Oryzias latipes: one gene and its partners. The protein of the gene in region 2 interacts with the protein of the main gene of each other region in a pairwise test. Links are inferred from orthologs where the notes say so. Each region holds a gene or a part of one and is shown on either strand. Other genes may lie near its edges.

Region 1 (6,110 bases), on a different chromosome or scaffold from region 2:
AAAAACTCATTTATGGTCTGTGCGACAGACGAACAGGGCAAATGGCACCACCTTGTGGCCAAAATAGGAATCACAGGTAAAACGAAAATTATTAAAAATACGAGTATAAAACTCTTAAATGATGGTTTAAATAAACCAAACTTTCAACATGTCATGGTTGAAAATGCAAAAATAAACAAACCACATAGATGTTAAGCCTTGAGCACCAGACCAGAAACCCTTATCAAGAAGAGTTTAACTAAAGTCATTTAAGGTGGAGAGGAAATCAAGTTAAAAAAAACTAAATTCTTAAAAGGATTTTACTGTAATGACTACTCAATAAAGAGCATCTTAGTCTTAAAAATCATTGTGTGAGGAATTCTTTGATCGCACCTTTACAGGCGTGGCATCCGCTCTGATCTTTCCCCACGATATGGCTTCATCAGGTCGAGCCCCAGAGTCAGAGCCATCAAACTCCTGGCCTGTGTTCACGTAAACCGCATAGTCTGCTCCATTCCTCTACAGTGGATCCACAAAAAGAGAACGCGTCAAGAGAGGGGAAAATAAAACAGCTGTGTCTGTCTATCTATCTCTATCTCTATCTCTATCTCTATCTCTATCTCTATCTCTATCTCTATATAGAGAGATAGAGAGATAGAGAGATAGAGAGATAGAGAGATAGAGAGATAGAGAGATAGAGAGATAGAGAGATAGATAGATAGATAGATAGATAGATAGATAGATAGATAGATAGATAGATAGATAGATAGATAGATAGATAGATAGATAGATAGATAGATAGATACACATGTTTTTGTGCTTCATAAAAGGAGGTCAGAAAAAGAAAACTAAATTAGCACTCTATTTAGTCAAAGAAAGTGCATCTAAAATTAAAAACTACATTAATTTCTGAATAAAATGACTGTTTTCTTTCTAAGCACATTTACATCCCATGCTGTTAGAAATGGCGTAAAAGCTTTGCAGTATTTTTAAAGGACACAATAAAACTATATATAGCAGTTAACAAAAATTGAAACCACTGCTCTTTTAATATGTGTTGAAAGCAACATTTGACATAAAAAAGTGTAATTTCAGAGAAATTCCCCTTAAATTTCCCCCTGCACAAAGGTTATTTTCTGTGCTAAGTGCCACGTAAATGAGAAAAAGGGAAAACTAACGAACTAGGTCAATTACCATAAGGTTAGCATTGGCTATATGATGCTTCACCAGCCCTCCTCCCAGGATGATCATTCCGGTCTTCTTGGCAAAAACTGCCAGACCGTTCAGTCTGCGAATATCTGCAACAAACACCACATTCATGAGACGACTTAGCCCTAACTTTACTATAGAAAAGGGATTTTTGCTTTCACCTTCTACAATGTCCAAAACCAGGCCAGGATTTTTAAATGAGTGAAAGTAAATCATGTCACCCAGAGAGCCATCGGTGAGAGCAGGACTGAACACGGGGATGTTATTCTGAAACAACACGGCACAAAAAATTCAGTTGAGCAAATAAAATGAGGACAAATTCTACTTAAAAAAAGCTAAGAAATGACAACACATTCAATCATTTCAGTTACCGACTGCTATTTTGCTAACCTTATAGGCCCAGTAGTACACAGAGTCAGTATTATTGATCTCTTTGCCCAATCGATGGATCATTTTGGAGGGAGTCCAACGCACACCCTAGTGGGAGAAATGGAATGAATTTGCAGTTGCAAATCTTTTTAAAAAGTGACTGTTAAAGCATCACTGCTGTTTCAGACGTTGGTAATTGATCAGAAAAAAAACCTTACCTCTGTGTTCTGCTCCAGCAGCATCTGGTCCAGAATGGGCATCAGCCAGTCTTCAAATTTACAGTAGTTATCATTGGGAACCAGCAGATTCCCAATCCTATAGTCATGGCAGACAGAAGGAGAAGGAGTTCAGAGAAGGAGTGATGTTTTTGTATCTTAACTGATGTGTTCCTGATGAAGCTGCTGTGAGGCGCGATTGCAGCTTAAATATGACTATAGATACTGAATGCAAACTCACAGTCAACAATAAAAATAGTTCCAAAAATAACAGATTTATCTAGAAAATTTAGTGTGACAACAGCACCCAAAGGAGCAGCTGTTGATGAGCTGTGTGGAGTAAATGCCAGTCAAAATGCCCATCCCTCATTTTTGTCATTTTAAATCCAACAAGTGATGTCAGAAATTAGCATATTAAATCTACAATAACAACCTGTTGATTCCTTTCAGCCGGAGTTCCTTCCCAGACAAACTAAAATCTCCTAAATAGGTGTGAGCCAGACATTTAATCAAGTCCTCTTCAATTCCTCCAGCTGTGGTTACAATCGCATCCACCTAAAACAAAGTAAGAGAATGTAAGAAACGGCTCTGTCTGTTAGCGTTGACAGTTTCGGACAAGCATGACAACCAACTGTACCATTTTGTGCTCTACGAGGTACCGGATGCTTTCTCTCACTCCAGAGCTGATCAGATTGGAGGTGTAACCCAGAAAGATAGTGCAGCCCGAGTGTTGCTTTAACTCATCTCCATCGTCTGCTTCCATTGGCTCGAGGCGTTTCTCAATCTGTAAGGTGTTAAGTAGTTCATAATAGCCACTGGGACATACATTTAATCAAAATAATCCCACAAAAGCAATGCCAAATAAATATAATCTAAAGTCTGACGTGAAGTACAATCAGTAGATAAGGTAGAAAAAAATACTGAACATTTTAAATTTATATTTAAGGAAGATGCAAACAAACTTTTCTGGAGATAAGGAATGGCACAGCTGTGTACAGGGAATTATTCTCTATTCGGCTCACATACCATGTTGTTGATCTGTTGAATGGCCAAACTTAGGCTGCTGGCCTGAAAGCCTGTGGTGAGGTAGGACTTCAGCACCGCCTGCAGATCGACTCCGTGGTTGAAGTCATAGCCTCGGATTTTTGGCATGTCGTCAGGGAGGTCATCGCTGGGCTTCAAGACAGCCTCCATGGCTACAGAGGGGGCGTGGTCTGACATTGTTCCTGCAACCAAAAAAATCCACAACAATAAAAAAAACTGTCATTGTGTTTCTGAGTTGGATTATTTAAAACAAAAAACAAGGGGGGTGGGGGGTCACTTTAGAAACTAAAGTACATTTTCCTCCAAGCACATTTTTACAAGAACAAAACTTGATGCACTATAATTCATTTTAATTTAACACATTTTAATTAATATAAAGTTGACAAAAAAGCCATTAAGCTGAAAAACACATTTACTAATAGCATTGCTTTTTTTAAAATCATAATATTAACTATCTGAATATATAGCAAAACAAAAACCAGAACAATTTGGATCATAAACACAGATGAGAAACACAGATGCTAACTAAAAGAGTCTTCTAAACAAGGTGAAAATGAAAACAGATACATGAAAACTTTAAAACATACCTGTTATCAAAGAGAGACTAAGTTATAATGGGATTAGGGGCCAGGTGACGGCAAATGCGCAGATGGAACATAGCCAGTAACCATCGCATGGGCTACATGTAGCATGAAGCTAGCTAGCTACGGAAAGCGTGAAGGTACAAACAATGCCAACCGCACAAACTTTTTTCCTTTTAAAAGCAAACCTTCACTCTCCCGGTTTTTTTTTTTCCATCATCTTTGTCATTGCTTTTAAAAAAATAAAAAAGTACATGCTTGTGTTTAAAAGTTTTATTTGACTATTACGCTATCAATTGCTATTCTAAATAATGCTTTAATTTGAACATTAACTTTAATCAATTTAGAAACATTGCTTATTTTTATTTTGCAGGAATTAAATAAATTAATAATAAAGTTTTTTAAAGCATGTTTGAATAAAGCGCAAAACAAATCTAAAATTTTGCCCACTTTTGTAACATTTTTACCCCAAATTATAACACATTTAGTTGTATAACAGAAATCTGTGATCACTTTTAGATGAGCAGTTCAAAAATTGAAGAGACTTTCTTTTAAATGCACCTTTAAGGTAAGGGCTTCACTTAAAAACATCCTCAAAGACATGTCAGACCCTGGAGATGATCTGTTTGAACATCTGTATTTCTATCAGGGAAGGGTTACAGGATAATCAGGGTCAGGGTCAAACAAACTCAAGAAGCGCTTCTTTGCAACAGCCTCTCAATATTCAGTTTTCATTAGATAGAGAATTCAATTTGTATAATCTTTTAATTTGATATATTATTAATTTAATGAATATGTAATTGAATATACATAGGCTTGCTGCCACTTTAGTTGGCACTTTAATTTTGCTGCAAATGGTAAAATGAAAATGAACTTGATTCTATTTCTCTTCTACTGCAGCACTCTTATAGAAAAAAGCATGTGTTCCTGTTTTTCATCAGCTATGCCTGTGAAGTAAAATGTATGATGTTGCTGACATTTTGGTCGGTTGACCTTCTCTTATCACAGGGTCTTTGAACTGCCCACACCTTTGAATAAAAAGAGGGCACAGGTCAGACCAGCCTCTCTGGGCAAAGTGTCCACAACGGGAGGTCACCCTGGGTCAGTTTAAAAACTGCTCCAGCGCCCTTTTCCTGCAGAGACTGTTGAAACAGAACTCTTGCACTGAAAGGGATGTCTGGAAAAACTCCCAGCTGCAGCAACAACAGTGTTATTCAGGCACAAAAGTTGGTGGAGCAACTCCGGCTGGAGGCAAGCATGGTGAGATTTAAGGTACGTGAAAACCACTCACTTCAAAATTTATTTTACATCTGTATTTTAAACATTATTTTTGTTGCTTTGATTGGGGGGAAAAAAACAGATGGAACAAACTAATAAGAAAGAATCCAAAAGTCCAAGTGTGTGTGTGTGTGTGTGTGTGTGTGTGTGTGTGTGTGTGTAAAATTGTAATATTCTTTGTAATGTCCTTTGCTCAAGCAGATCTCCTTGACTGCAGCAGACTTGGTCCAGTACTGTCAAGAGCACAGATGCAGCGACCCTCTGCTCATGGGCATAGCTGCCTCCTCCAACCCCTTCAAGGAAAAGAAAACCTGTGTGCTGCTTTGAACACTGAAGAGCTGAAGATAACCAAAGAATAACAGATGTTCAAAATGTTTACTACAACATAGCTGTTATAAAACATAAAAATATTAGAAATGATCAAAAAATATGTAAATATTTATACCTATTGCTGTTACATGTTTTTTGGCTTCTGAGCCTTTTTTTGTAAGCATGACATGTTTTACACAACAGAAATACATGTATATTGCATTTATTTACATTTATCTAGTTGTGAACTCATTTGAAAAACACTTGAAAATTCTTGTATTTTTTCTTTATTTATTTTGGTTAAGTTAAACCAGTCATGCTTTTGATTAGCCATTTCACATCTTCCACAGCTGTGACTTTTGTTTTTTTGTTTGTATTTTCCTTTAATTGGTATAGAAGTATTACATGTAAAAACTGCCAAATAACTAAATGTTATAAGGCGAATCAGGAAAAAAAAAGGAAATTATGAACATCAAATCCAGAAGTGTTTTTGCTTTTTATTTTGACTTGACCTTTGTTATTGACTTTCACATTTATAATGTCTGAATCTCAGCATCAGATCCACAGCTGTCCTATTTCAACAAATGACCTGTAGATTATACCCATTTCATTTTCTGCATCCCCAGATGTAAACATCATTTGTAATAACTCCAGCCTTTTTACACAGCTGGGAAAAATTCTGAAGGGAATATTTATCATTAAAATGTATCGATAACATTTTCGTGATATTTAGCTGTGCAATAAGCATTTCTCAAAAGACGGCATAATTTGTCATTGATGGTTACCTTAACTGTGCTAAAACAATCTTGTGATTTTCCCTCATATGGTGCAGCCCGATCAGCCACTGATTTTATGAGTGGTCCTGTTATAGATACACCGCAACTGTGAGAGACAGAATGTGCCTGTTATAAGTAGGATTTTTTTATTATTTGTATTTATATAAATATATTGATTTCCCTTTCTATCTTTTAATTTAGACAGTGCTTTCTCAAACTTTTGGCCACAGCACTTTCAATCGTCCTTTTTAGTCTGTTGTGCTTTATGACTTCATTGTTTTAACCTGTTTATATTTATGATTAATTCAAATGACCAAGCTCCATCACAGCGGAAAACAAAAAAATGATCA
Region 2 (5,880 bases):
ACCAGGTCTTCACATTCAGCCCAAAGTAATCAAGAGAAGTCAAAGCTTGTTCCATAAATTGATAGATTTTACTAAGGATAATGTCCCACTGAAGGGATTTGTAAACCAAAGGACATTAGAGATGCTCCTCTGTAAGCCAAATGTCGACTGAATAAGCTTGTTTTTTGAAGGTCATTTGGAGAAAGGAACGAAAATAGAACAAAGAACTCAAAATACTAAGAAGGAGAATTTTACATAACAGATTTATCCACAAAAAGCTACAGAGCTTTTGATTTAGAGACAATAAAATAAGTAAAATACATCCACAGAAATTGTTAAACTCTTTTACCCTGAGTTTTTTTTTGTTGTTGTTATTTCTATGGTGCCAAATGGATTAAAAGTCAGCGGAAATGAAAGGCCTACTTAGACTTTTGGAGTGCGGACAGGAACACTGTGCACTCTGGACACAGCGCACAGACAGATGTTGTATGGAAAAAGGGGCTCAGACAGCCAGATGGGGCAACAGAGGCTTATAGCGCCAATTAAAAAAAGCCAATATGCTAAACCAAACAACTGAGAACAAAGCAATGTATACGGTAACTCCAAATAACAGCATACTTTTTTGTTTCAAGTGTTTTTTAAGTCTTTGTTTCTGTTCCAAAAACTCAACACCTCAGATTTTTCAATGCTTTTACTGTCCTGACAATGTAAATTGTGTGATTGCTGGAAGAGCAGGACCTTGTTATTCTGATAGATGTCATGCACGGACAGAAAGATGAGGCCAAAGGAAGACTCAGATGATGTAATACACTCTGGCTGGCCTTTGCGCTGATCCTTCCCTGATCCCCCTTCCTAACATCTAGCATCGACCTTTAATGCATTAATCCCCAATATCTCTCTCTTGGTCACTCTCTGACTTAATCCAAAAGAAGCCATTCTGTCCAGAAGCTTGCTGTCGTGCCAAAAATGCATGTTTAACCCCTTCACGACCACCAGCTGCAGACAGATTTCATCTGCGTGTTACTATGTGGTCGGTAATCTTTCTGAGAAAAGGCAAGTGGATCCCTGGGTATCTTCTGGACCACCTGCCCACTCGAATTAATACAGCTTATCAGAGTCATCTAGCCTTTTCCTGTTGACAGTAATCAGTAATTTTGTTTCATAACATTACATTTGAGCTCTATTATGCAACACCAAAAGGATTTATTAGGATGGCTGATTAAACGCACCTTTTAAAGCTAATGCCCTCTTGGTTTCCATTTAACGTCTCTGACATATTGTCAGTAGCTGTTTGTTCAAATAAGCTTTCATTTTTAGAATGCAATGTCCACAGTCAGAGAATTTCAGTCTAAAGAGAATTAAACTGTTTTTATCACTAATAAAGAACTACTCACTGACAGAGTAAGGCAGCTTCTGCACTTTTAGCCTACTGACCAATAGTTTCAACGTTGTGCTTACAGCTCTGTAAATATTTGCAGGTCAAAAAGGTTTTTTTTGGTAACGTATTTGTGAACAAATTTTTTGAACATAAGGACAGGAAAATTAATAAATGCTTAAAGAACTTTATTTTTCCTGTGAAAGGAGCATAGCTTAAAAATGTGGTTAAAAGAATTCAACTTGTTTGGAAAAATTCCAGAAATGATTTTCTGCATGACATTAAAGGAACTATGCTAAAACTGAGGTAACCTTATAAGAGTCAGTTGCCACAAAATTAACCAAAGATTTCACCATATTTATAATCAAATCTTTTAAAAGCGACTTTTCCTTCCGAGAACTTTTTCAAAATTAGACAATGAATCTTAACTAATATCCTAAACAAAATAAATGCTCAAAATTTAAAGTTAAATAAAATAAAATAAAATGTCATAATGTTGGCATTATAATGTATCTTTAAAACATTGTATCGTAATATAATGTGACAGAAGCCACGCCTATTTATTTATGTCCCGTTTTTTGTCGATATACACAACGGAAGCTCGAAAGGGACATTTATAGGGTTGTGCAGAAAGTTCTGACTGACAGTCGCAGAGGTTCATGCTAGCTCACAAAGTTTCTGATATCTTCCTGAACGTATGACAAGATCGTTACATTTGCCAATGCTCTGAAACGGCTTTTACCTCATCATAGCAACACTGAATTTTGATAAAATGGGTGATTTTCTATCAACATTTACAAGACACTAGTAGCGCAGCTAATCTGCTAGCTTAGCTAGGGGTAGGTAGTTGTGCTTAGCCGCATGTGTGTCACTCATTGTTGTGCTTGTGTTGGTCATATAAAAATCGTGTGCAGGTAGTAGATCTTTTTATTTAAACATACGTGTGTGTATATTATGTTTCTATCAAAATCATTAATTATTATTTGATGGATTAGATGGATTAGAATAATTATCCAAATTTGCTTTTACTTAAATTCAGCAAAATTGGTGGATCAGACCTAGTTTTATAATCTTCCACGACTTTACGTGGTGAAGTAGTCCAAAATCTCCAATGAAATATCTTAAAAAATTAATATTGTGGTCAGGAAAAAAAACTGGAAATAAAGTCACATTAAGTTTTTCTTCAGAGGGTAAATATGGCCTTTAAAAAAGTCTTATATGCAGACTTAAATTTTTGGAGCAAAGTATATATGCATAAAAACGAATGAAAGTTTGCTCGGCTCGACCGAGCAAAAAAAGCTGTTGCTTTTAGGAATAAATAAGTATATTACAGCCTCTTCTTTGAAGGCATTTAAGGGCTATTATAGGTGATATTATAATAACTAAATACATGAAACCTGAAGATATTTGAGAAAAATGTATTTAAAGTTAGCAGTGATTGTTCGTTTTTGTAATTGGGGAACTTGAATTTTAATGATATGTTTTCGAAAGGGAAAAAATAGCACCCAGTGCCCACTTTTGTGTTCTTTTTTGTTTTATGCAGATGGTCCACTCATGTTGACTGGATGCAGGAATCTCTTTCTGATCTTTGCATCACTTGTACATAGAAGAACTTGGATGTGTAAAAGGTTCAAGCCTAAAAGTGAACTCCACTTCTCTGCCTCAGCAGCATCATTTTCTCTTCCCTCTGTCTCCTCGTCTCCTCAACAGCGAATCATCAACAGCTCATCCTTTCTGCATCCTCCTTTCTCCTCCGCCTTCCAGCCTCCTCACTGCTCCCACTTTACTGGCCCCATGGAGTTAAAGGAAACTTTGCAGGTTCTGGAGCAGCTCGCTCCTCTGTCTCTTGCTGAGTCATGGGATAACGTCGGCTTGCTGGTCGAGCCTAGCAAACCTCGGCCGGTCAAAACCATCCTGCTGACCAACGACCTCACAGATGCAGTCATGGCGGAAGCAGAGGCTTTGAGCTGTGACCTCATTATTTCCTATCACCCGCCGTTGTTCCGTCCTGTTAAGCGACTGAACCAGAAAGATTGGAAGCAGCGATTGGCCATCCGGGCGGTAGAGGCTGGGATTGCGGTCTTCTCCCCTCACACTTCATGGGACAGTGTTAAAGGAGGGGTAAATGACTGGCTGGTTGCAGGCCTTGGTAAGGAGCTCTTCTGGCAGGAAATTGCATTAGGCTTGCTGTGGCTGCATGTGAACCTGTAATCTGCTTTTTTCTGGGTTGTTCTTTGAATTTCAGGCAGCGGCCAAGTGTCTGTGCTGAGTCAGGCTCTTGGTAACGCCTCCCACTGTCATAAACTCGAGTTCACAGTGAGAAGCACAGAGGAACTAAACACAGTGATGAAGGAGCTTAAGGCCTGTGATGGAGGAACATCCTTAATCTCTACAGGAACCAGGTTGTTTGAGATTTTTGGGGAATATATTCAGAAATGTACGACGGAGTATTAGGGCCACAAAAAAAAAAAAATTAGAGCCACCAAAAAAAAAAAAAAAGTAAAATTACGAGATTTTATCTCGTAAATTTAGGAGATAAAAACTCGTAAATTTACGACTTTTTATCTCATAAATTTACGACTTAAAATCTCATAAATTTACGAGAAAAAAGTCGTAGATTAAGGAAAAAACACCGAAGTTGTCCGTTTATCGGAACCTAGCTTGAAGATGAAGTATGTGGAGCCTTTTGTGAAGCTTCATTTCCGGATTATTATAGGTTTAAAACAAAGAGATTCTGAACCTTTTGGCGACTCAAAATCAGATTAGTTTCCGTGTAGTAGTCTTTCCGGGGTTCAGTGTCAGTAAAGCGGAGTTTCATAGGTAAAATAAGGAGCTCAGAGACACGTTTGGGTGTAGAGGACCGCTGCAGCCTTTATTTTCCTTTCCATTCACATATCCTGAAGTTCATTTGTCTCATTACGTCATGAACCTGTCATCCCAACACCAATGCGGAAGTAAACAGTCTTACAAACGCCCCCTCCTGCAGATGAAATGTCCCGTTTCAGCATAAAACAATAAAGAGGAATGAAAATAGTGTTTTATATTAGCTTTGGAACGTTGAAAATGCCAAAAAAAAAAAGTGCTCCTCCTTTTGTGTGACGGAAGCGTCACACAGACGTAGAGTCTTGTCTTTGGTGGAGGAAGAAAGGATTCAAGCGAACAGCTGCAGGGACACCGACAACGGCTTCGTCGGGCTGCAGAGATCCTGCAAACCAACCATCAATAAATACAACTTTAATGAATCGTTAATCGAACAAATGACTTTCCAGACATTTGGAACGTTATCAATAAACATACAGCTCACCTGTTCAACAAAGTTTAGTCGGTCTTCTCTGCGGCTGCACGGCGTTCACCTGCTGCTCTGCATGTTCACTTCCACTGTAATCTCCTAAAATTACGAATTTTTTTCTCCTAAATTTACGAGTTATTATCTCCTAAATTTACGAGTTTTTATCTCCTAAATTTACGAGATAAAATCTCGTAATTTTACTTTTTTTTTTTTTTTTGGTGGCTCTAATTTTTTTTTTTTGGTGGCCCTAATACTCCGTCGTAGAAATGAGCTATGGCTGTACTAAAAAAAAAAAATTGGTTTGATGGTGGATTCGCTCTGATTATGCCGGGTTGTTTTTATACTAATGTGAAAATAATACTAGCATCATCAGATGTTAATAAGTTGTTTGTCTCGGTTATTACTTCTCTCAAACCAGAGCAGACAGCAGTGGGATCCACGCCAGCGTATTATGCAGCGACTCAGCACTGACTCCCAGCGTTCAAACTCTGCTGCAGCACAGCTGCTCCAGTCAGTCCCTCAGCATCCTGAAGTTAGAGAAGGTACAGCAGAAACACAAAAAAAGACCAAGTCAGTACTTTTTAAGACTCCAATAACAGTGTCCTTTTGTGATGCCCCGGTAACCTGGCAGCTCTGTACCTGCTTCACACTTGCAGCCGCCTCTGCCGGGCCACGGCCAAGGCCGACTCAGCGTTTTGGAGCAGCCAGTGACTGTGGCTGAAGCCGTCCAGAGGATGAAGTCCCACCTGGTGTTGAGTCATCTGCGATTAGCCCTGGGATGGGGGCAAACGTTAGGTAAACAAACATGGATTTAAGGACTCCCAACACTGTTAGCGCAGATTTTTGCACAGCACCAAATACACAAATACACAAAAAACCTTTCCCCATGTTTTTATGTTTATTTTTTTTAAAGAAAAAGATAAATATAGAAATGACAAATAGACCCATAACATGCTATTTAGCTATTGTTTATTAAAGGATTCACAAACACTGGTTTATGTCCTTTGTTTTTTTATTACTGTGATGTATTTTAGCATAAATGTATATAATTTATTCACAGATTTTATCACATATTTTGTTCATGCATATGTAAGTGAAAAATAGCTGTTGTGGTTAACTCAGGTGTCTTTGCAAAAACTTTATAAAATATCAATATTAAATATTTAAACAATATTAAATAAAATATATTTAAAAAAATAGTAGTTTAACCTATAGATCAGATAACGGCGAATTCATA
Region 3 (6,050 bases), on a different chromosome or scaffold from region 2:
TGTTCCACATCTACAGTCTTGTTATGATCAGCCTGTGAAAGAAAGAAAAGTGTCACAGCGTGCTTTTGACAGACAGAACTCATGCAAAGTTGCCTGAGCTCCGGAGCTGCTTTAGAGTCTTACATTTTCATGGGTAAAAGGTGACCGCGAGAGAACCGTGCACGGTTTGAAGATTAGTAGCTGACATTTTGGTAAGCTGCATGAAAAAGTCAAATGTCATCATGACAGCATGACAAATATCTGTGAGCCAAGGAGTGAGCTGGCAACACCATTCGGTGTGTTTAGTGGCCGAGAAGCCAAGAAAGGTGAGGCTATTGAGTGTCCAGACGGCGGCCGATGGAAAGATGGTGCAAGGTGATGCACTGGTGTGAGGTGAAAAGGAAAGGTGAAAAATTTCAAAGCAAACAATCTGGAAAGGGTGAGTCACTTTCATTGCTTTATACATGGGAGTACTTCAAATGAGGTTAATACTTGTGGATGGTCCATTGCAGTTTTCCTCTGTTTCTGCTGCATCTGAAGATAATGAAAATAGCACTTAGGAGAAAAATTAGTCAGTATTTACCAAATAAATTGCACATAGCTCAATAAAGGAATAAATACTAAATTTAAATCGTTAACGAAAGGTATACAAAATAGTAGCAGACCTCTTTTTAGCCTCCTTCTGGCAAGTTTAATCTGGTCTTGAAGAATCTGCACCCAATCCCGAGGTCCAGGCAGCTTCTCTATTTTGTGTTCAGCGCAGTATTTCTCTGTAAAGACTAAAACGTGATAAACGTTTCTTTAGAAACAGAGTGTACTTTGTCATAGAAACCAGTCAAAGAAGAAGACAAACCTCTGAGAGGTTTTGGATCCACCACTTTCTTACCTTTAATGGCACCAACAATGTTCTGGTCCAAGCCTTTTCGGTTATCGTTGAGCCCTCTCTTCCTTTTACCATTTGGCAACGAGTTAGCCAAAGTAACATCATTAAAGAAGGCGCAGACCTACAATAAAACCAAATTTACTGACCATTCTGTTTGACTTCTATTTTGTTAAAGATCCACTCCAAGGAAAATTGTGTTTCTTGTGGGATTTTTCTCCTGACGTCGGACATAAAAGAAAATTAAGCTAAAAATTTGCATTCTCAGCATTTCTTTATTCAAATATGAATAAGGAGTAGAACATATTTGCCATTCTGGGCGGGCCACAAGCTTTTGAGCAGCGGAGATGGGAAGTGGGGCGGGGTTTCTCACAGCCACAACTCAGAAGCACATTTTTAATGAACTACTGCCGCTCTGCAAAAATAATTTCCACGAAAACAACGCAGGTATTTTGCATTAAGGCTAAAAACTGCATAATCATAATTAAAAGACCATTGAGAATGCTTTTAAACAGCTCAAAAGATGATCAAAGTGAGCCTTTCAACAGAAAATTGCCAGATATTTTGGGATCAAAAAATGGAAATAGTCATTTAAAAAATAGAAACTAAAAATAACACAAAAAAAAGAGGGCTCCAAATTAGCTGAATGCATACCAGTTTGCGAAATAGGAGACTGCCAGAGCGGGTGTAGTTGACCAAGATGGAATCTAGCTGAGCTTTAGATATAAACACGTCGTATTCCTCTGCAAGACGGACCTCACTCTGTGATGGAATACAGAACAAAACAATTAGTCGTTCCAAAAATTAAACAGAAATGAACAACTGAAATTCAGAACTGGGTTTAAGAACTGAAGTCAAAAAGGTTGAGACTTCATTGTACAACAATACATTAAGGTCATTTTACATGGCTCAATAAAGATAAAGTTTACACCAGGTGTAACTCAGAAAGAAGCCAGTCTCATGACATTTTGCTTGGAGTCTGTTTAGTCTTTACAGAAATTTTAGATCTTGTGTGTCTTGTAAAAAGTTCTAAAAAAAGCAACTTTCTTATTCTGTTCAACAATTTATATCAATTACTTTACATTTTTGTTTTTTGATAAATTTAGCAAAACATTAAACTTAAATCAACAAACTAAACAAAGTCTAAACTTTCTAAGAAATTTTGCAACAAACTTTACAGAGAAACAAATTAAGGTTTTACCTCTGATGCTTGAGTTTCTTTTGGTTGGCTTAAGGTAGGATTATGAATTTTGCTCACTATTCCTGAATCATTCTGTTGTGACTGTGCCGAAATATCAGGGGAAATGGGATGCATGTTCAGCACTGACGAGTCCAGTTTCTCACATTTTTCCCTCTTTGCAGATTCTGCTGGTGGTGCAGCTTGATGCGCTGAACTTTCCACAGGAGAAAGAACAACTTTTTTACTGCTGGAGACAGTAAGAGGCGCCACCCTGTAGTAAGACTTTCTTTTTCTGTGAAGACTGCGCGGAGTGGAGCCCAGGCTAAAGCGAGGTTGGCATACTGGTGTTGCTTGTTGATGCTTTCCAAAGGATGCTAAATAAATGAAAGACAAAAACCTGTTATGCCTTCTTTATGTTTATCCCAGTGCAATTTGGCCACATTTTCTGACCTTTCTGAGTCTGCATCAGCCTCCTCATGGCACGCAATTCCTGCAATATAGCCTCTAGAGTGCCTGTACAGTTACACATACAGCACGAGCTTTCTTGGACTGCAGGTTGCGCCACATCTGGAAATGCAGAGGTGCTTTAATGAGTGATACGATCCATGCAAACATTGGCAAAGTGGACTTTCTGACTGGAAAAAAATGGTTGAATTGCTGTCTTTGATTTACTAAATGTAAAAAAAACCCTACTTTAATGTCAATTTTAATAGATTTTTCACAGATTGTTTATTGTTTTACCATTTTGTTCATTGGTTTTGCTCACATCCTTGGTTTTGTTGAAAATCCTGAGGGATCTGGAGCGAGTGCTGTACTGGCCATAGTTTGGACCATTGGGGACAGGTATAGATGGGGATGGCACAGAAAGCTCTGAGTGTCCGGTTGACAGCCAGCTGTTGCCTTGATGGTCATCTGGTACCACAGACAGGAATGGAGGCTGGTGAATCCAACTCAGATGCTTATCCTGGGAATCATTTGTTGTGCCGTCACAATCTGCAACAACACGCTGATACACTCGGCCAGTCTTGTCCCTCAGAAGCCTCATCATTCCTGTGATTTGCCTCTTGATCTCAACACCTTCATCTTCCAGCCAAACTGCATTGAGGAAAAATGGGTGTGGGCGCAGGTATAGAAATGGTAAAGTGACAAATCAATGCTCAATCTGACACATACCATCAGACACAACTGCATCTTTAGTTTTGCCATCCTTGCTGCTGGAATTCAGTGAAGAATCATGGTCTGCAAGTAAAACAAAAGGTTGTTGCTGTAAACTTGTGTAAAAAAGCCGCAATGACTGTCAACAAAAGCAGACACCCCCACCCCCCTTCCCATCTCATGCAGAAACCACCACCTGTAGGTTGTATGAAGTAGTTTTCGAGAGAGGCTGCAGCTTTAAAAAAGGTGAACATCCTGCGCTCCTGTTCTGGATGTGCAACAGATCAGAACATCCTTCATTGTCACGATCCACATAGAAGCTGGGGATGACGATTTGAACCCTCCAAACCCAGACATGCCGTGGCCGCCGCTTTTGTTTACGCGCACAGCAGCAGACACACAGCCAGCCAGCCAGACACGCGTCTCCTGCATCCATTCAGCAGCTTACCTTCATCTGCGACCAGTTTGAAGCTTTGCGACTTCCTCCTTCTCCTTCTTTCTCCAAATTCCATCTTTTTCCCGCAGGTCGAGCTGAAATACGCCGTTCAGAACGACCAGCCAGGGACCGAAACCCTGAGTGGAATCACCGTCTGTCCGTTTGCCTTATTAAACAGTTAAATTTCCTCCCAGTCAGCGCGTCCGATCCTTTCACCAGCAGATTCCCAGCCCGAAAAACAGAAGAATATTGTTGAGTGGATCCATTTCCCCCGATATTACTACCCCGACCCTCCCTCTGGTCATGTAAATGAATTGATGATTTTAATATAAGAATTGGTTATATCCCTTTGCGCCACCTGATGGCATGTTTCATTAAAAAGGTCGGCACATATTTGCCAGTCACTTCAGACAAAAGCCAGCGTTTAAATAAAGGCGGTCTAAACCCAAATCGTTGTTTTTCATTTCTCTTCCCCAATTAAATATCCTCTATTTGGTTTAACGGCAATGATAAAAAAAAGACAACTGAAAGCCGGACATTCGACAGCTGGAGCAGAAAACTCAAAAATATAGATAAACGTAATAAATAATGCCAAACAATAAAAGCACTTTGGGTGACCCGAGTTGTAAAGTGCTATAAGTAAAGCTTGATTTGATTAGAAAAATGAAACTTTTGAAAAAGTGAATGAATGAATACACTTACTCTGTTTTAAAGCAGCTGACATACCACAGGATTTCAATTTGACAAAAAAAAAACCTTTTAGAAAAGTAGCTCAAATAATAAAGAGATTTCTTTGGCTTTGGTTCGCAGTATAGTTTTCTGAATTCATCATTTAGAACTTAAAATTATTTGTTTTAATTTGGGCTTTCAGGCTTTTTGAGTTATTGTAAATGGGATGTTCATATCAGCCAACACTTCTTTTTACCTTATGGACAAATGATGGACACAATGAAACAAATAGAAGCAGCAAAAACCCACGTGACTTACTAGCCGATCTAGCAGGGTCTGCAACACAATATCAAAGCAGGAATGGACAAGAACGACCACCATTAAACGAGATAGATTGTGTATAAAGTTTGACAAAAATAAACAGTTTTATTAATTCGGATTGCACGATTTCTAAGTTACTTTCAATCAAGTTACTTCAACACAGATGAAGTAAAATTGCCCCCCCCCGGTCTCCAAAAGATGAACTAAACTGGCTTAACATTTAAATAAATGAGATTGACTAAAAAATAGTTCTAAATAGTTGCCATTATCTTACGGAACCCGTAACGTTTCGCCAATTTTTGTGACAAAGTTTAACACAAACAAGCTGTGGTTTGCTAGGACAAAAACGGAATTTTGTTAAGGAATAATTTAAAAGTTCTCTCTCTCAAAGCTTTCTAGCTTTGTGGTTGTTGTTTTCATATCCTTGCTTCATGTTGCTTTTTTTTCATAATAAATGTGTTTTTTTTAAATGATGGTTTCAAACCTTTCCATTTTTTAGCTGGAATGTTTAAATTAAAACTTTGAAAATAAAACAGATGAAAAAAATAAAACTAACATGATTTCTTGAATTTTTCTGCAATCCTCAATGCAATAGAACAACTTACTGAAAAACAACTTTATCATTCATTTACGTCTGTCAGTCTTTTCAAAGCCGTTTTATTTTGAAAGGTTAACCCGGCAGTAAAACGCACAACTTTTAAAATGAAAGTTCAGTCTTTCAATATTTTCCGGTCCATTCGGCTTCACAACAACTCTGTATCGTGGACACTTTGGATATATTCACCATTAATTTCCTCATATTAGCTTTGTAAAAATGGATATACTTAAAGCTGAAATAGCAAGAAAAAGAAAGCTCCTCGAAGAGAATCAGCTTGTTGATGTAAGTGTCTAAAAATTCCACACTTACTTAACTAAATTAGCACTTCGTTCGTAGCTAGCTAGCTCAGCTGAGCTGGCTTGATCATCGATAGACAGTCTTTTAACAACGTTAAGCTCTTTTTAAAAAACATATAAAGTAGTAATATTACAAATCCCATGCACTTTAGTATGTCTGTAGCCATGCCTTTAAATAAATAAACAGATAATCTAGTTTCGTAACGTTTCTTTTGGTGTAGCTAGTTCTGTTCTGAGTCTGAGAGGACTGGTACCTTTTTTTTAAACCAACATTAGCTCATATTCATTCGGTACTTTACTATGTACTTTACTTGTTTGACCTAAGCGTTATCAACGATCATGAACGGCATCTTGAATGTGTAAAAAGTAGAACAAAATAATAGTAAAATTGAAAAATTTACGTCAACTGTTAGCTTAGCGCCCATGGCGTAAAACAATTGCGCATGCGTACAAAACATTATAGCATTTTTACACTTCCTAAATGTACATAATATCCATAAAATATATCAGAATACATGTGGAAAAATAAACTGCAT
Region 4 (6,022 bases), on a different chromosome or scaffold from region 2:
ACCCAGGTTAACCTGAACTTTCAGTTTATTCTAAAGGAAGGTTTGAAATCTAAGCTTAAAGATAGAGATGCTGTTTGCCTCCAGAGCTGAAGGAGGAGCACGGTGAGTGTTCAGTTACAAGAGAAGCACTTTTGTGATCAGTTAATTAAAGATTTTCTTGAATTCTAGCAGAGTTAATGAGAAATGCTGTTCTATCTGCTTAAACCATGAACTCCAAACAAAAGAGAACCTGTCAGGCTGGGATGGGGCAGACTAATAAATTTGATTTCCAGTTTAATCCAAATTATGTCACATGTTTCTAGAATTTCATTTATTCCCATCAAAATTACAGGGGGACTAGTAAAAAACTTGAATACATTGTACGTATTATTGTATACATTGTTGTACTTTATTGATTTATTGTGGATATTATATTTAAAAATGTCTTTAACAATCTGTTTTCAATACTTCTTTTATGATTCAATAAATTGTGGACTCTGTGAATTATATTTATATTTCAAAGACAAAAAAAAGTTATAACTTAACACATCTGTAGCTATATATTGATTGGCCAGAAGAAACCATAGTCTCAAAGGAATGACTGGGCTTGAATGGGATTATTTCCATTTTAGCTATTAGCACACTTTGGCTTCAACTTGTTTTCATGTATCAAAAACAGACAACAGAATCACAAAAACAGTCTGTAAGCCTGCAGACAAACAGATGGGATGGCGGAAGAGGACTCCCAACCCATGTGAAACTATCCAATTCTGTCAACGTGACTAATTATCACTGGTATATTTTGAAGTGAAAGGTCCCTGGTTCAAGTCCCGGCTGGGGGACCAGAACCAGAACATCAAAGTTGGGCCTTTCTGTGTGGAGTTTGCATGTTCTCCCCGTGCACGCGTGGGTTTTCTCCGGAGACTTTAGCTTCCTGCCGACGTCCAAAATCCTGCTTCATGGGTTCCTCTAAATAGTCCCTAGGCGTGTGTGTGAGTCTGCATGGGTGTGTGATTGTGGCAGCCTGTTGATTGTGGGGGGTTATCGGCATTGTTTGTCGTGTCATTTTGTTTTTAAATTTGATTATATTTTATGCAAAGCACTTTCAGTGACATGAGTTGGAAAAGTGCTATATAAATAAAGGTTGAATTGATTGGATACTGTCCAAAAACATGCTTCATAGGTTAATGTGTGTCTCTGGATTGCCCCTAGGTGTGTGAGTGAGTGAGTGCATGGCCCTGAAACAGACTGGAACTTGTTCAGGGTGTCTCCTGCCTTTAGCCCAACAGTAGCTGGGCTAACTCCAGCTGCACTGTGACCACAAAAGGGATTCAGCTGGTTCTGAAAATTGAGGCACGATTCTTATCCATTACAATGCATCAAAGTATATAACACAATACAGAAACGGCAGGTGGGATACATATGTTACGCAGAAACACAAGGCCAGATATTATCTCTCCAGCTTGACCTGAATCTGCGGCTGGAAATACCTGTATGTCCACCAGAGCAGGATTGTTTACTAGCAAAAATAAAACTTTATATGAATTTTTGTATATTTAAATGGAAAGATATGTAAGTTCCAAACAGTGTACTTTTATTTAACAAGAACTGGGTAAATTAATAAACAATTGAATAACTACATTTTAGAAACAAATCAACTTGAAAATAAGACATCTACTAAAACTCATATATTTTTAAAATGTATAACTTATTTTTAAATATCTACCCAAGTGCATTTGGTCTGTGGTGTGTGGTAATGGCTTGCTGAAGTTTTCTGATAGTACTTTTAGTGTGCTGTTGTTTTCACCACAGTGGTTCACTGCTGGAAGATCTCAGTAGTTTCAACATAAACTTAAAGAACTGAGTCAAACAGACACAATAACTGAGAGGAAATAAAATCAGTTGTATTCTTCCATACATTGTTTTGGCTTGTCGGGCAGCTCTTTACCTGCAGGCCTCTGTTGTTTTCTGACCTAAAAAGACAGTCAGCCCAGCCCCTCCATCACAGACTTGGGAGGTGGAAAATTCCACTGATGTTGATTACAGGAGTCACTGCTGGTTTTGTTCTGACTTTAAACTTTTTCTTGTTGCTGTTTGCTTGATATATGTCCTATTCTATTTATGGATTCTAGAGTAAGTGATTCTTCAAAGAAAATTACTTTAACAGTCTCTTTTCCAGAGCACACATATGTAATGTCGCTGCGTATCAGCCTTTCTGCGGCCGCTGATTGGATGAAAACTGACCGCAGGGTGCCGCTGATTCGCCACAGATGAGGGGGCTGCTGGAACTGGCCAATAGCGTTCGAGCGCGAGCCGGGTGTATAAATAGTGTTGAAACAAAGGGAAGGAGTTAAACGGCAGTGACCCAGCCGAGGGTGAGCGCAGCTGAATGATCTTGTCCCGACAGACGCGTCCGGACCAGAGGCTGACTGTGGGGATAAAGCCACTCTGACGCGAATGAAGAAACTTCTCATCTTCCAGTTCACATACAGAGGACTTTTGACTAAAGGAAAAAAAGGGAAAAGAAGAAAATGGAGTATAAATTACGAAAAGCAGAGCCCAAGGACGTGCCAGACATATTACGACTCGTGAAGGTACGTAGATATAACGTCAACTACTATTAGAAAACAAAACAAAAAAAACCGGTCTGAACTGGACGCGCTTGTTCCGGTTAACGAGCCCTTTCTGCTGACGTCACGTTTCCCGCTTTGGAAACGTGTCGTCGACGGATAAAAAATACGGGAACTTTTTAGGAGAAGTGTGTCTGACAGCTGATGGTGAGACGGGAGGAAGGTCGGCAGGATGTCCGGCCGGCAGCTCAGCCCGGCGGCCTTTGTTTTTCAGCCAGACGGCTGGTGACCGAGTTAACTTCCGCCTCTCCATATATGGCTCTTCCGCCCGGCAGCTTAGCTTCTTATGGAGGCTGACCTCGGAGAAGTGTTATTATATGGTTGTGTAACGGCCGACCTGACACAGATACACACGTTTGACACAGTAACGCAGCTGAGGGGATGTCAGAATTTACAAACACAAGAAAAAAAAAACAACTAAAAACCGGAACAAAGAAGGAAATAAACGGCGCTTTTTGACACAACTTCATAAAAGCGGAAGTTGAAAACTTATCTGCCTAACCCGTTTAAAACTCTGCTGCAGACATAAAATACAGTACAAAGCAGCTGTCTTTAATAATAATCTCCAGCAGAAAACAAACTTTTATTTAGTGTTATTTGTCATTAGACGACGTCTTTGTCATCTGTGGAACATCCTGAGTCATCACTTTTTTTGGCTTCTGTCATGAACTTTTCTCTGGAAAAGTCTGCTCTCAGAATGTTTTTATCAACGCTCTGCTCTCATTCCAGGAGCTTGCTAAATACGAGGAGATGGAGCACCAGGTGGCGCTGACGGAGAAAGGTGAGTGTCCGGCGGCGTCCGCCCGCACGCCGACAGACCGTGTTTGATCATCGCCTGCTTCTGTGCAGATCTCCTGGAGGATGGATTTGGTGAAACGCCGTTTTACCACTGCATCATCGCTGAAATCCAAGGAGAGAGCAGCAGTGAAGGTAGGCGTGTGCCGCTCTGCTCAGCTTCCTGTTTGTTGGCAGGAAGAAGAGCCGCCGCCGGCTGCAGTTTGGGTTTAGTCAGACGTGTCGGCTCACGTGTGCTCTGGCTGGAGGCTCAGAGCAGCTGCAGGTCTGTGAAGGTTTCCTCCCTGCAGAATGGCCGGTGACCGCTGTCCCCCCCCTTGTCCCCATACAGATCCTAAGGTGGGGGGGTTTGCCATGTACTACTTCACCTACGACCCCTGGGTGGGCAAGCAGCTCTACCTGGAGGAGTTCTACGTGATGAACGAGTACAGAGGTGAGAGCAGCTCCTCCTGTCCTCCGGTGGGTCCCGAGCATCCCTGAACTCCTGTTGTCTCTTCCAGGTCTGGGGATGGGCTCGGAGATCCTGCGGCACCTCAGTGACGTGAGTTCGATTCCTGCTGCAGCAGCAACTGTTGATCGTTAACAAAACCTACAGTGTTTTTTAATCGATACCTTTTAGAATAAAAATATCACTTCTTGTAACATTCAAAACAAAATATATAAACATTGTTTTTTCTTATGAAATCCTGTAATGAAAAGACTCAGAACGTCTGTCTGCTCCGTTCCTCCTGTTGACTGCATGATGCTTCTGTGTCTGACTCATGAGCTGAGGCCTCCTCCTCCTCCTCATGTGACCAGCTGCTCTAACGTCTCCTTCTCTTGCTCCTGGTCCAGCTGGCGATGAAGACGCGCTGCACCGGCATGATGTTCGTGGTGGCGGAAAACAACGCCCCGTCCATGCAGTTCTACAAACGCCGCGGCGCGGAGGACCTGTCGCAGGAGGAGGGCTGGAGGCTCTTCAGGTTTGACAAGGACAGCCTCCTGAAGATGGCCACTCCAGCTGAAGAATGACAGGAGGTCCAGCAGGGCGGCGCAGGAGCAGGAGGAGACCCAGGAGTTCCAGCTCCACTCCCCTCTGCGCAGATGAAGCATGCAGATGTTTCGCTGTAATGGTTCTGGTGCAACACCTCTCTCTGATTTCTGATCTGAACTTTCCCACCAATAAAGAAATTCCTGATCTCAGAAGCTCCAGCCTTTCTGCTGTTTGACAGATCCGCTCATGTTCATGCAGCTCTGGACGTCCTCAAACGTGGACCTGCTCATCCGGGTTGAAGATGAGAACCTGAGCTCAGAAGAAGAGCTTTGAGAGGCAAACGGGGTCAGACTTGACCTGAAGGCTGAGTTTTAACATGCAGGCCCGTTAGAGGATTGTGTTAAGAAAATGTATTTCCATACTCATTATTTTCCATGTATTTATTTAAAGTCTTGGAGTTTGTTAGCTTAAATCCTATTATCATACCAAATCATAGTTTGTAGGCATGCTGGCTGGATGGTTTTTATTATTTTTAGTCTGGTGTTAACATGGTCGTTAGTCTTTCAGTTGATGGAACTGTAGACACTATATTCTTTGTTTTTCTTCAATGACCCTGGCATGCACTCGCACTTGTCTGCAGCCGCTCAGCTTCATAACAGCACTCAGCTCCCTGGGAGGTGAAGGCCGCAGACATGCAGCCGTGAGGAAAGAAAGGCGGAACCTCCAAAACGCTTGAATGTAACCGTTGTCTGTCTGCTCCTTGCTTGCAAGTAAAGCTTGAAAAGATAAACTTTTGAGTCTTATTGAATCTTTTTGCATGTCTGGAAAAACTGTCTGTGAGCCAACGGCGTCTTTACAGCCCGCCTTCAGAAATCTTTCCTGACAAGAGGGTTGTGTCTGGAAGGTCATCCGATTTCAAATATGCAAATCAGACCTGTGATGCCCATTTTAGAGGGAGGAAGCTGATTGGCTGAGGCGACCCCTGAAGGGAAAAGCTGACAGGAACAGGAGAAGATGTAAACAAAGTTCCTTTTGGACCACAGATCTGCTGAAAACCAGAAGCAAATGGCTGAATCACAAATGCACAGCAGCATGACATCATCAGGTTTGGGGGGTTTCTTTCAGAAACTAGCAAATAACCCTTTTTTTTTTATGATTGGGTTTGTAAAAGCTGATCAGACCGTTTGAATGACTCCTCTCAGCAGTTTGATTTGATCACTCAGCAAATGCAAACTGACTAAACAGTAAACCTGGGGAGCAGTGAAGCTGCTGCTCCTCTTCACACAGGTCAGACTATCATCTATTCCCCTGCTCTTGTTTTCAGATTCGACCTCAGATTAGACTTTAGATTAGACTTTAGATCAGCCCGTTATCCTCAGATAAGTGAGAGTGATTCCACAGGAGTCAGCGCCTTTAGTCTGCTCCTGATAAGACGAAGAGGAAATGTTCCTTTATGGCGTCTGTCTGGATCCTCTCCTTTAGATTAGACTTTAATCTTAGAAACCCAACAGAACCAAGAATATTCTGTTTGCCTCTGGAATCTGTTTCAAGTTAAATAAACAAAACAATTACAGTTGACAGACAGAAATGTCCCCAAAAGGGGCTTTTCTCCTTCACTTCCTGATGTTTCTGGAAGGTCACAGAA
Region 5 (6,145 bases), on a different chromosome or scaffold from region 2:
GGCTTACTCTGCGCCAACTGTCCTGCCCACATCTCAGTAGTAAATTTCTGATGAGCTACTGCTGCTCTGCAGAAACTATGTCCTAGAAAACGACACAGGTTTTTTGACTTTGGCTAAAAATGTCAATTATTAAAATCCCATTGAGAATGCTTTTGATATAGATCCAAAAATGATTAGAGTGGGACTTTAAAAAATATGGAAGCGTTATATTCCTTCCAGACTGTGAAAATATAGTACTTTTAAGTAAATGGGCGACATGTATATAGAAAAATTAATTTTGCATTAAATTTGTAATTTGCCACCTTTTTTCATGCATTAAAAGCATAAAACAATATTAATTCAAGAGGAAAATTAACATATACACCCCTGCTTAATTTGAAAATCACACTTCCACAACATTTGATGAATATTATCTTTATTTATGTATTTAAAATAGGTACAGAGAAAAGCTATCAAGTATAAAACTGTGTAACAAGAATGTGAATATTTAACAAATCCAAAATAACCTGCTTGAAAATTCCCACCAGGCATGGTTTGCTTTGAATGAAGCAATAAAATAAGCACAAAAACTCCACTTGAAAAAAAAAAAACCTGACAGTGTCTTGGGCATTAGGCGCTTGCTCAAAATGTTTCCAAAGGGACTTCTTATTGCGGCTGGCCATCACAGCAGACAGTTTAATCTTGCATGCCAAGGCGTGTTGAGTGGCCTGAGGTTTTTGACTTTTTTTTTTAACTAAACATACAAGATTGTTAACAGCAAAATATCTACAAGAAAAAAAATACTTTCACCTCAATAATCCTATTTGTCAAATGTTGAACTCATTTTAATGTCAGTGGCATATGAACCACCAGTTCGGTTGCAGATTGCAAATGAAATGTCACTGGAAGGAAAAAGTAATAATCATCACAGCACATAATGGAAATGCCCTCAGTTCAAGAGTGTGTTTTTGGTTAGAGACGGCAAACGTTGAAATGCCAGGATGAGCAATAAACAGAGAAATTGACAGGACATCAATAGTTTACAAATCCCTGCACCTTTGTCAATGAAATCATTAATTTAAAACTCCAATAAAACACCATATGTGTCTTTTACAGTGGAAAATAATTACCAAATTAGGCTTTGAACATTTTCTTCCACTTTAAAATTGTATTTATTAATAAAATGTGACTCGCCAAATGTAGGTGAAAGATGACAAAAGAAAAAAAAAATTAAATGGCTGCAGTTTCATGATTAATTTGAAGACTTTAGCACAAAAAAAACAAAACTTACATCAGGAGGCAAAAATGAGATATAACACACAGGGGGCAAATTTGAAAGTCTACAAAATCTAAATTTAAGTGGAGCACCCATTGTTGCCATTATACCCATATCAAACAAGGATAAGAAATGCATGTATTTCCAAGGAAAGACATAAAAAAAAAACAAGTCCTATCAGATCTGATTTAAATCTGCACTTGTTTCAAGTCAGCTTTGAGGGTAAACTCTGGAAGATTCAGGCACCACCCTTCAGTCGCTCCGCAACAACAAGACCGAACGGAGCTTCTCCTTTACTCCAGTCCCCCTCCCTTTGTGATGGATGTCAATGGCCCTTTGACAGGACGGTCAACCCTCACGGCAGCGTGAGATCATAGAGATGGTTTTGTCTCTGGATTCCCTCAATGACATGTTCAACAACACTTGGGAGGCGGTGTGTGGAATTTTGTCCAGCGGCTGCAAGGCATGCCGTCACAGTATTTCTCCCTCCCACGAGTCTCTGTCTCGATCCCTTCTTCAGGGCTGTGTTGGGTCATTGATAGATGTGTTCAAAGTACTGAGGCTGAGGGTTTTCTTTGACATACTTCTGAATGTACCAGCAGGTCAGGTGAGCCTTCAGGTCCTCTTCCACTACAAAATCCATGGCTGCCTGCCGTTACACAAAGCACAGTTAGTGAACTGCCAAATTATCAACCAAAAAGGACTTTGTCGTTCAGAATGACTCAAGAATTCATTCATCTATTCTACCTTGGCTAGATGTTTGGCAATGCCTCTCCCTCGGTATGCATCTGGAACTTCTGTGTGCTGCAAATCCACCGTTTTCTTCCCGACATACTCGTACAGAAGAACTGCACGATCATGGGATCCTGAGGAATGAGACAAAAGCTGAGCCTTTCTTGTGTTTGCTAAGTTCTGGTCCACCCAGAAAAATTTGACCCTTTGACCTTATAAAGCGAAGAGACACACATAACACAAAAAGCCGGTAGAACAACATTACACTAGTCATAAAGACCCTTTTAAAGACACACTCCGTGTGTTTTTAACATGTTGCATTTCTGACTATTTCTTTATTCAAATTGTTAGGAATCAGGAGCAAATCCAGTTTGAAAAAGCTTGTGGGTGTGACGTAAAAGCTACTACGGCAAGCGACAAGCTCCCTGTTCGGCTCCATTCTGATGCATCCACTTGTATATGACTAAATCCGTTGATGTCTGCATCTCTCTTGTCTGAACTGGCATCTAGCTCTAAACTTTACAGCTGGATAGTTCCTCATTTTCTTGCCATTTTTGTTGCACCGCAAATGTTAGGCCGGGGCTGTAGGCTACTGGGAGAGCGTTGTACTTACTCGCACCAACAGTTCCGCCCACAACTCGGAGGCAAAATGCTAATGAACTACTGTCGTTCTGCAGAAAATATGTCCCCCCCCCAAAAAAAACCCAATACTGATTTTTTTTTTTAATTTTATTTACTATTATTTTTTTGCTTAAAGTGGCACAGTCATGGTTAAAAAAAGCACGGGGAATGCTTTGGACATAGATCAAGAGTTGCTTAGAGTGGGACTTTAAAGGTCCTACACGTTATAGTGTCTCACACATCAAGTACAAAGATGTAGTTTGAAAGTTTACGATAAATTAAAACTTTAGTCAATAAAGATGTGAAAAAAATAGAATGTATTACTGTTCAGTGAAATAAGGCATTCAATATATAAATACACTTTTCACAATTGACTTGGAGAAACTGATGAGATCTTTATGTAATTGAGTTTGCTATAAAAACTGAATAAATTAAAAAAAAAACATATTAAAGTTGAAAAAAAAGCAAATATTTAAGGCAGTATTTGTAAATGGTAAAAACATAAATTATTTTAAATTACAGCCCACCATGCATATAAACCAGCAAAGTAATATTGCTAAAACACTTAGAAATGTAATAGGTGGGAAAAGAAACAGCTTTTCTTTTAAGATTGGAGCAAAAAGTAAGCATCTGTTGAATGAAGCGACTAAAGTTTTTTTCCCCTCAAAGAGAGGGAAAAACCGCCTAGACATTCATGGTTTATGAACTACATTTCTGATAGAAAAATAAAAGGAGTAACAGCGACTATGTGGTGCCGAACAACGCAGCGCAGCTGTGGCAGAAATGGCAGCTGGAGTTCCCCACAAGGTAAAAATGTTAGCAAGCAGACAAAGCTAACCTTCAAGCCAACCTCGCGCTAGCGCGAGCGTGCTAATGTTTACATTCGGAACTTACCATTGAGCCTAATGACAAACTGCCGGCGCTTTTTATCGTGCTCCACCTGGATTTGAGAGCCGCTGGTGTCAAAGGCATGCGCTTGAGCCATTATTGGGGGTATTACAGCTACTCTACGGTGCTGATAACCAGAAATGGCTACATGAGACGACGATGAACGTACTGAAGCAAAACACTTCATCCAACACAATCAGCTGTGAGGTCACGTGGGGACTAGCCAATCAGCTCGATGTACGTCAGAGATGAGAAATTAAGGTACGAAAATAAATGTTTTCTGGTTAAAGAATTACAGTAGTTAAAAATCACAATAAAAACTACACAAATCTATATAGTTAAAAATACTTATAATAAATAGAAACATATAAATAAAAATACGAAATCTATTTTTCTTAAACCATTTTTTTTCGTAAAATAACACAATCTTCTACTTCTGACAAACAACATAAAAATCGACGATTTTTAAAGTGAAATTAATGCAAAAGTTTGTATATGTGTCACCTTTATTGTTTTAATTGGAGGATGTGATATCCCGACGTCCACTTTATCTAGGTTTCTTTTTCTATTTCTGTGAGTAATATTCTACTTTATTATTTGTTTCGCAGGTTTAATTCTTTTTCCTCTCTGTAAAATTTGGTCTGGCCAATTCAAATATTGTAAGCTGAAAAAATGTTTCATTAATGACTAATTATTTAATTTTTTTAAATGATTATGATGCAATGAAATCATATTAATTGGATTTAAAAATAATGTTTTTGCAGTTTTTGTATTGTTAGTTGTTCTTGTGTAGTTTGTTTACGTGTCACAAGGTTACGTAAAATTGTTTAATATCAGTTTCACAACATTAATATAATAACTTGAAATTCAATAAAAGGACATATAGGGTTATTTTTACATTGAATAAATCACAGTAATATTTTTTTAATGTAAAAGGAATGCAATTAAATTATCTAACCAGAATTCAAAAGTTTCTTGTAATGTTTTTCAAAATGATAGTGAAGAACATCCCTTTTTCCTTTTCTTTTATAAATTTTGAGAAATGTTATCATGGCATTTTTACAACATTTTGTATTTATGTATATTTTTCAAGACTTTCCTTTATTTCCGTTTGTTTTAGTATATATTTTAATTAAAAAAAATTATACAATTTGTTTTGTTTAGGCTGTTGTATCATGTTTGCATCATTTAAAAACAATCTTGAAATAAGGGTTTTATGAACATGGCTTTAGATTATCTTTATTTAAGCACAAAGAAATGGATTACAATAGCTCAAATTAGGCCAGATTACCTTTCATAGCCACGATTGCAATGTCTTCTCTTCGTCACTACTCTCGGGATCTTTTTCGGGGTAAAATCCCTTTTCTGTCCCTGCATAAACACAGACATCTCCACGTATTGAACTCTAAGTCGGTGCGTCAAGTTCACTAATGTTTTGTGTGCAAATCCTTTTAATCTGTTGGTCTAATCCAACAAAACTCTAATGAGGTTTGTCAAATCTTTGTGGGGTTTTGTGAAGGTAGCTCTCTGCTTCTTCAGGTTTTGCCGTCTGCAATGATGTGAGACTTCTTCCCTTTGTTTTTGTCTTATTCGTTTTTTAGTTTTCGCTGGAAGGGTAGTTTAATACCAAGTTCTTCTTCTTATTTATTATTGTTGTCATTTACAGAGGTTTGTTTTAATTCGGTGTCTGAAAAGATGTCTAAAAAACACAGGTAAGCCAACTTTCACTTATTTACTAGATGTGTTGTAGTGTCAAATCAGTTAATCTGATTAGAAAATAAATTTCTATTATTGCGTAAATGTAAACTTTCATATTCCAGCACAGTCCTAGTATTTCTGGTTAGAGAATTAGAACTTGCATTTACCAACCATTTATACCATTTATTATGGATGATTTCATCTTGTGAGTAAAGAGCCCATCTTAGCAAAAGTTTTACATTTTTACCTATAAATCAATGCTCTGCTCTATTTTCAGTTTTTTTTTTATTCTCAGTCCTCTGGCTTTGAAAAAGAAACATCATAAGGGATTTTAAATGTTGAATTTAAGCTTTAAAGACAATTGCATCGTGAAAGAACTGTTGTCTATGCTGTACTGAACACAAAAAAATGTGTTTGCTGTTTTATGAAGCAAGTGGCATGAGACACTGGTAACCACAAAGACCAACAAACCGCAGTCAAACCACAAGGGAAGGGTAAGTAATGAATAGAAATTCAATCATTTCATTAGTGTTGTGCTAGAAATATCTAAGTGTGGAATTTGTTAAACACAGATGCAATGACAGCGTTTTACTTTAAAAATATTCCAAATGATATTCTTTTATGGCAGCAAAAGTCATAAAAATATATTCCCTCATTTAATTTCAACCCATGATGTTGCTCATTTTCCACAGGAATTGTACTGAATGCATTATCTTGTAAGAATGATTTAAAAATGAGAATTCCACAATCTTATAGCAATCAAGATCAGCACCCTTTTAAAGCTGCTTTTAGTTTGTAATGCATTTCTTAACATCAAAAATTCTATATATTCAATGAAACTAAGTGTTTAAAAAAGAGGCTATTTTAGTTTTCGAACAGCCTTCTTTTTAGCACCATTGATCCAAAACATGCACCAAGACAGAACTAGAGTTTTTAAAATTGTGTTGAGTC

Evidence for each region.
Region 1: the proteins of nif3l1 (region 2) and dhps interact in binary tests that used the Homo sapiens proteins (3 or more experiments, as listed by UniProt). The two-hybrid records come from large-scale screens. The link is inferred for Oryzias latipes from reciprocal best matches to the Homo sapiens genes NIF3L1 and DHPS.
Region 3: the proteins of nif3l1 (region 2) and bend7 interact in binary tests that used the Homo sapiens proteins (3 or more experiments, as listed by UniProt). The two-hybrid records come from large-scale screens. The link is inferred for Oryzias latipes from reciprocal best matches to the Homo sapiens genes NIF3L1 and BEND7.
Region 4: the proteins of nif3l1 (region 2) and sat1 interact in binary tests that used the Homo sapiens proteins (3 or more experiments, as listed by UniProt). The two-hybrid records come from large-scale screens. The link is inferred for Oryzias latipes from reciprocal best matches to the Homo sapiens genes NIF3L1 and SAT1.
Region 5: the proteins of nif3l1 (region 2) and natd1 interact in binary tests that used the Homo sapiens proteins (3 or more experiments, as listed by UniProt). The two-hybrid records come from large-scale screens. The link is inferred for Oryzias latipes from reciprocal best matches to the Homo sapiens genes NIF3L1 and NATD1.

The regions. Positions count from the first base shown.
Region 1 is NC_019866.2:13,271,877-13,277,986, reverse strand, and holds the start of dhps (deoxyhypusine synthase), read right to left. Parts: upstream 3,536-6,110; 5' UTR 3,404-3,535; intron 2,999-3,403; 5' UTR 2,994-2,998; coding exon 2,799-2,993; intron 2,557-2,798; coding exon 2,410-2,556; intron 2,328-2,409; coding exon 2,206-2,327; intron 1,873-2,205; coding exon 1,776-1,872; intron 1,666-1,775; coding exon 1,579-1,665; intron 1,456-1,578; coding exon 1,350-1,455; intron 1,278-1,349; coding exon 1,174-1,277; intron 499-1,173; coding exon 373-498; intron 1-372. Other genes in the region: guanine nucleotide-binding protein G(I)/G(S)/G(O) subunit gamma-12-like, read left to right, coding at 4,571-4,669, 4,877-5,002. UniProt on the Homo sapiens protein: Catalyzes the NAD-dependent oxidative cleavage of spermidine and the subsequent transfer of the butylamine moiety of spermidine to the epsilon-amino group of a critical lysine residue of the eIF-5A precursor protein to form the intermediate deoxyhypusine residue.
Region 2 is NC_019877.2:7,709,206-7,715,085, forward strand, and holds the start of nif3l1 (NIF3-like protein 1), read left to right. Parts: upstream 1-1,942; 5' UTR 1,943-2,013; coding exon of another isoform or gene 2,014-2,049; intron 2,050-2,897; 5' UTR 2,898-2,908; coding exon 2,909-3,503; intron 3,504-3,599; coding exon 3,600-3,756; intron 3,757-5,061; coding exon 5,062-5,185; intron 5,186-5,274; exon of another isoform or gene 5,275-5,299; coding exon 5,300-5,438; intron 5,439-5,880. UniProt on the Homo sapiens protein: May function as a transcriptional corepressor through its interaction with COPS2, negatively regulating the expression of genes involved in neuronal differentiation.
Region 3 is NC_019864.2:20,634,714-20,640,763, forward strand, and holds the start of bend7 (BEN domain-containing protein 7), read right to left. Parts: upstream 3,980-6,050; 5' UTR 3,707-3,979; coding exon 3,643-3,706; intron 3,279-3,642; coding exon 3,213-3,278; intron 3,135-3,212; coding exon 2,781-3,134; intron 2,607-2,780; coding exon 2,490-2,606; intron 2,414-2,489; coding exon 2,061-2,413; intron 1,622-2,060; coding exon 1,514-1,621; intron 984-1,513; coding exon 866-983; intron 759-865; coding exon 645-758; intron 514-644; coding exon 455-513; 3' UTR 33-454; coding exon of another isoform or gene 28-32; 3' UTR 1-27. Other genes in the region: prpf18 (pre-mRNA-splicing factor 18), read left to right, coding at 5,435-5,500.
Region 4 is NC_019878.2:2,834,849-2,840,870, forward strand, and holds sat1 (diamine acetyltransferase 1), read left to right. Parts: upstream 1-2,303; 5' UTR 2,304-2,510; coding exon 2,511-2,573; intron 2,574-3,338; coding exon 3,339-3,390; intron 3,391-3,458; coding exon 3,459-3,539; intron 3,540-3,735; coding exon 3,736-3,837; intron 3,838-3,904; coding exon 3,905-3,945; intron 3,946-4,238; coding exon 4,239-4,415; 3' UTR 4,416-5,167; downstream 5,168-6,022. UniProt on the Homo sapiens protein: Enzyme which catalyzes the acetylation of polyamines. Substrate specificity: norspermidine = spermidine >> spermine > N(1)-acetylspermine. This highly regulated enzyme allows a fine attenuation of the intracellular concentration of polyamines.
Region 5 is NC_019866.2:14,550,757-14,556,901, reverse strand, and holds natd1 (protein NATD1), read right to left. Parts: upstream 3,704-6,145; 5' UTR 3,684-3,703; coding exon 3,503-3,683; intron 2,122-3,502; coding exon 2,003-2,121; intron 1,905-2,002; coding exon 1,788-1,904; 3' UTR 399-1,787; downstream 1-398. Other genes in the region: myosin-9-like, read left to right, coding at 5,192-5,208, 5,625-5,688.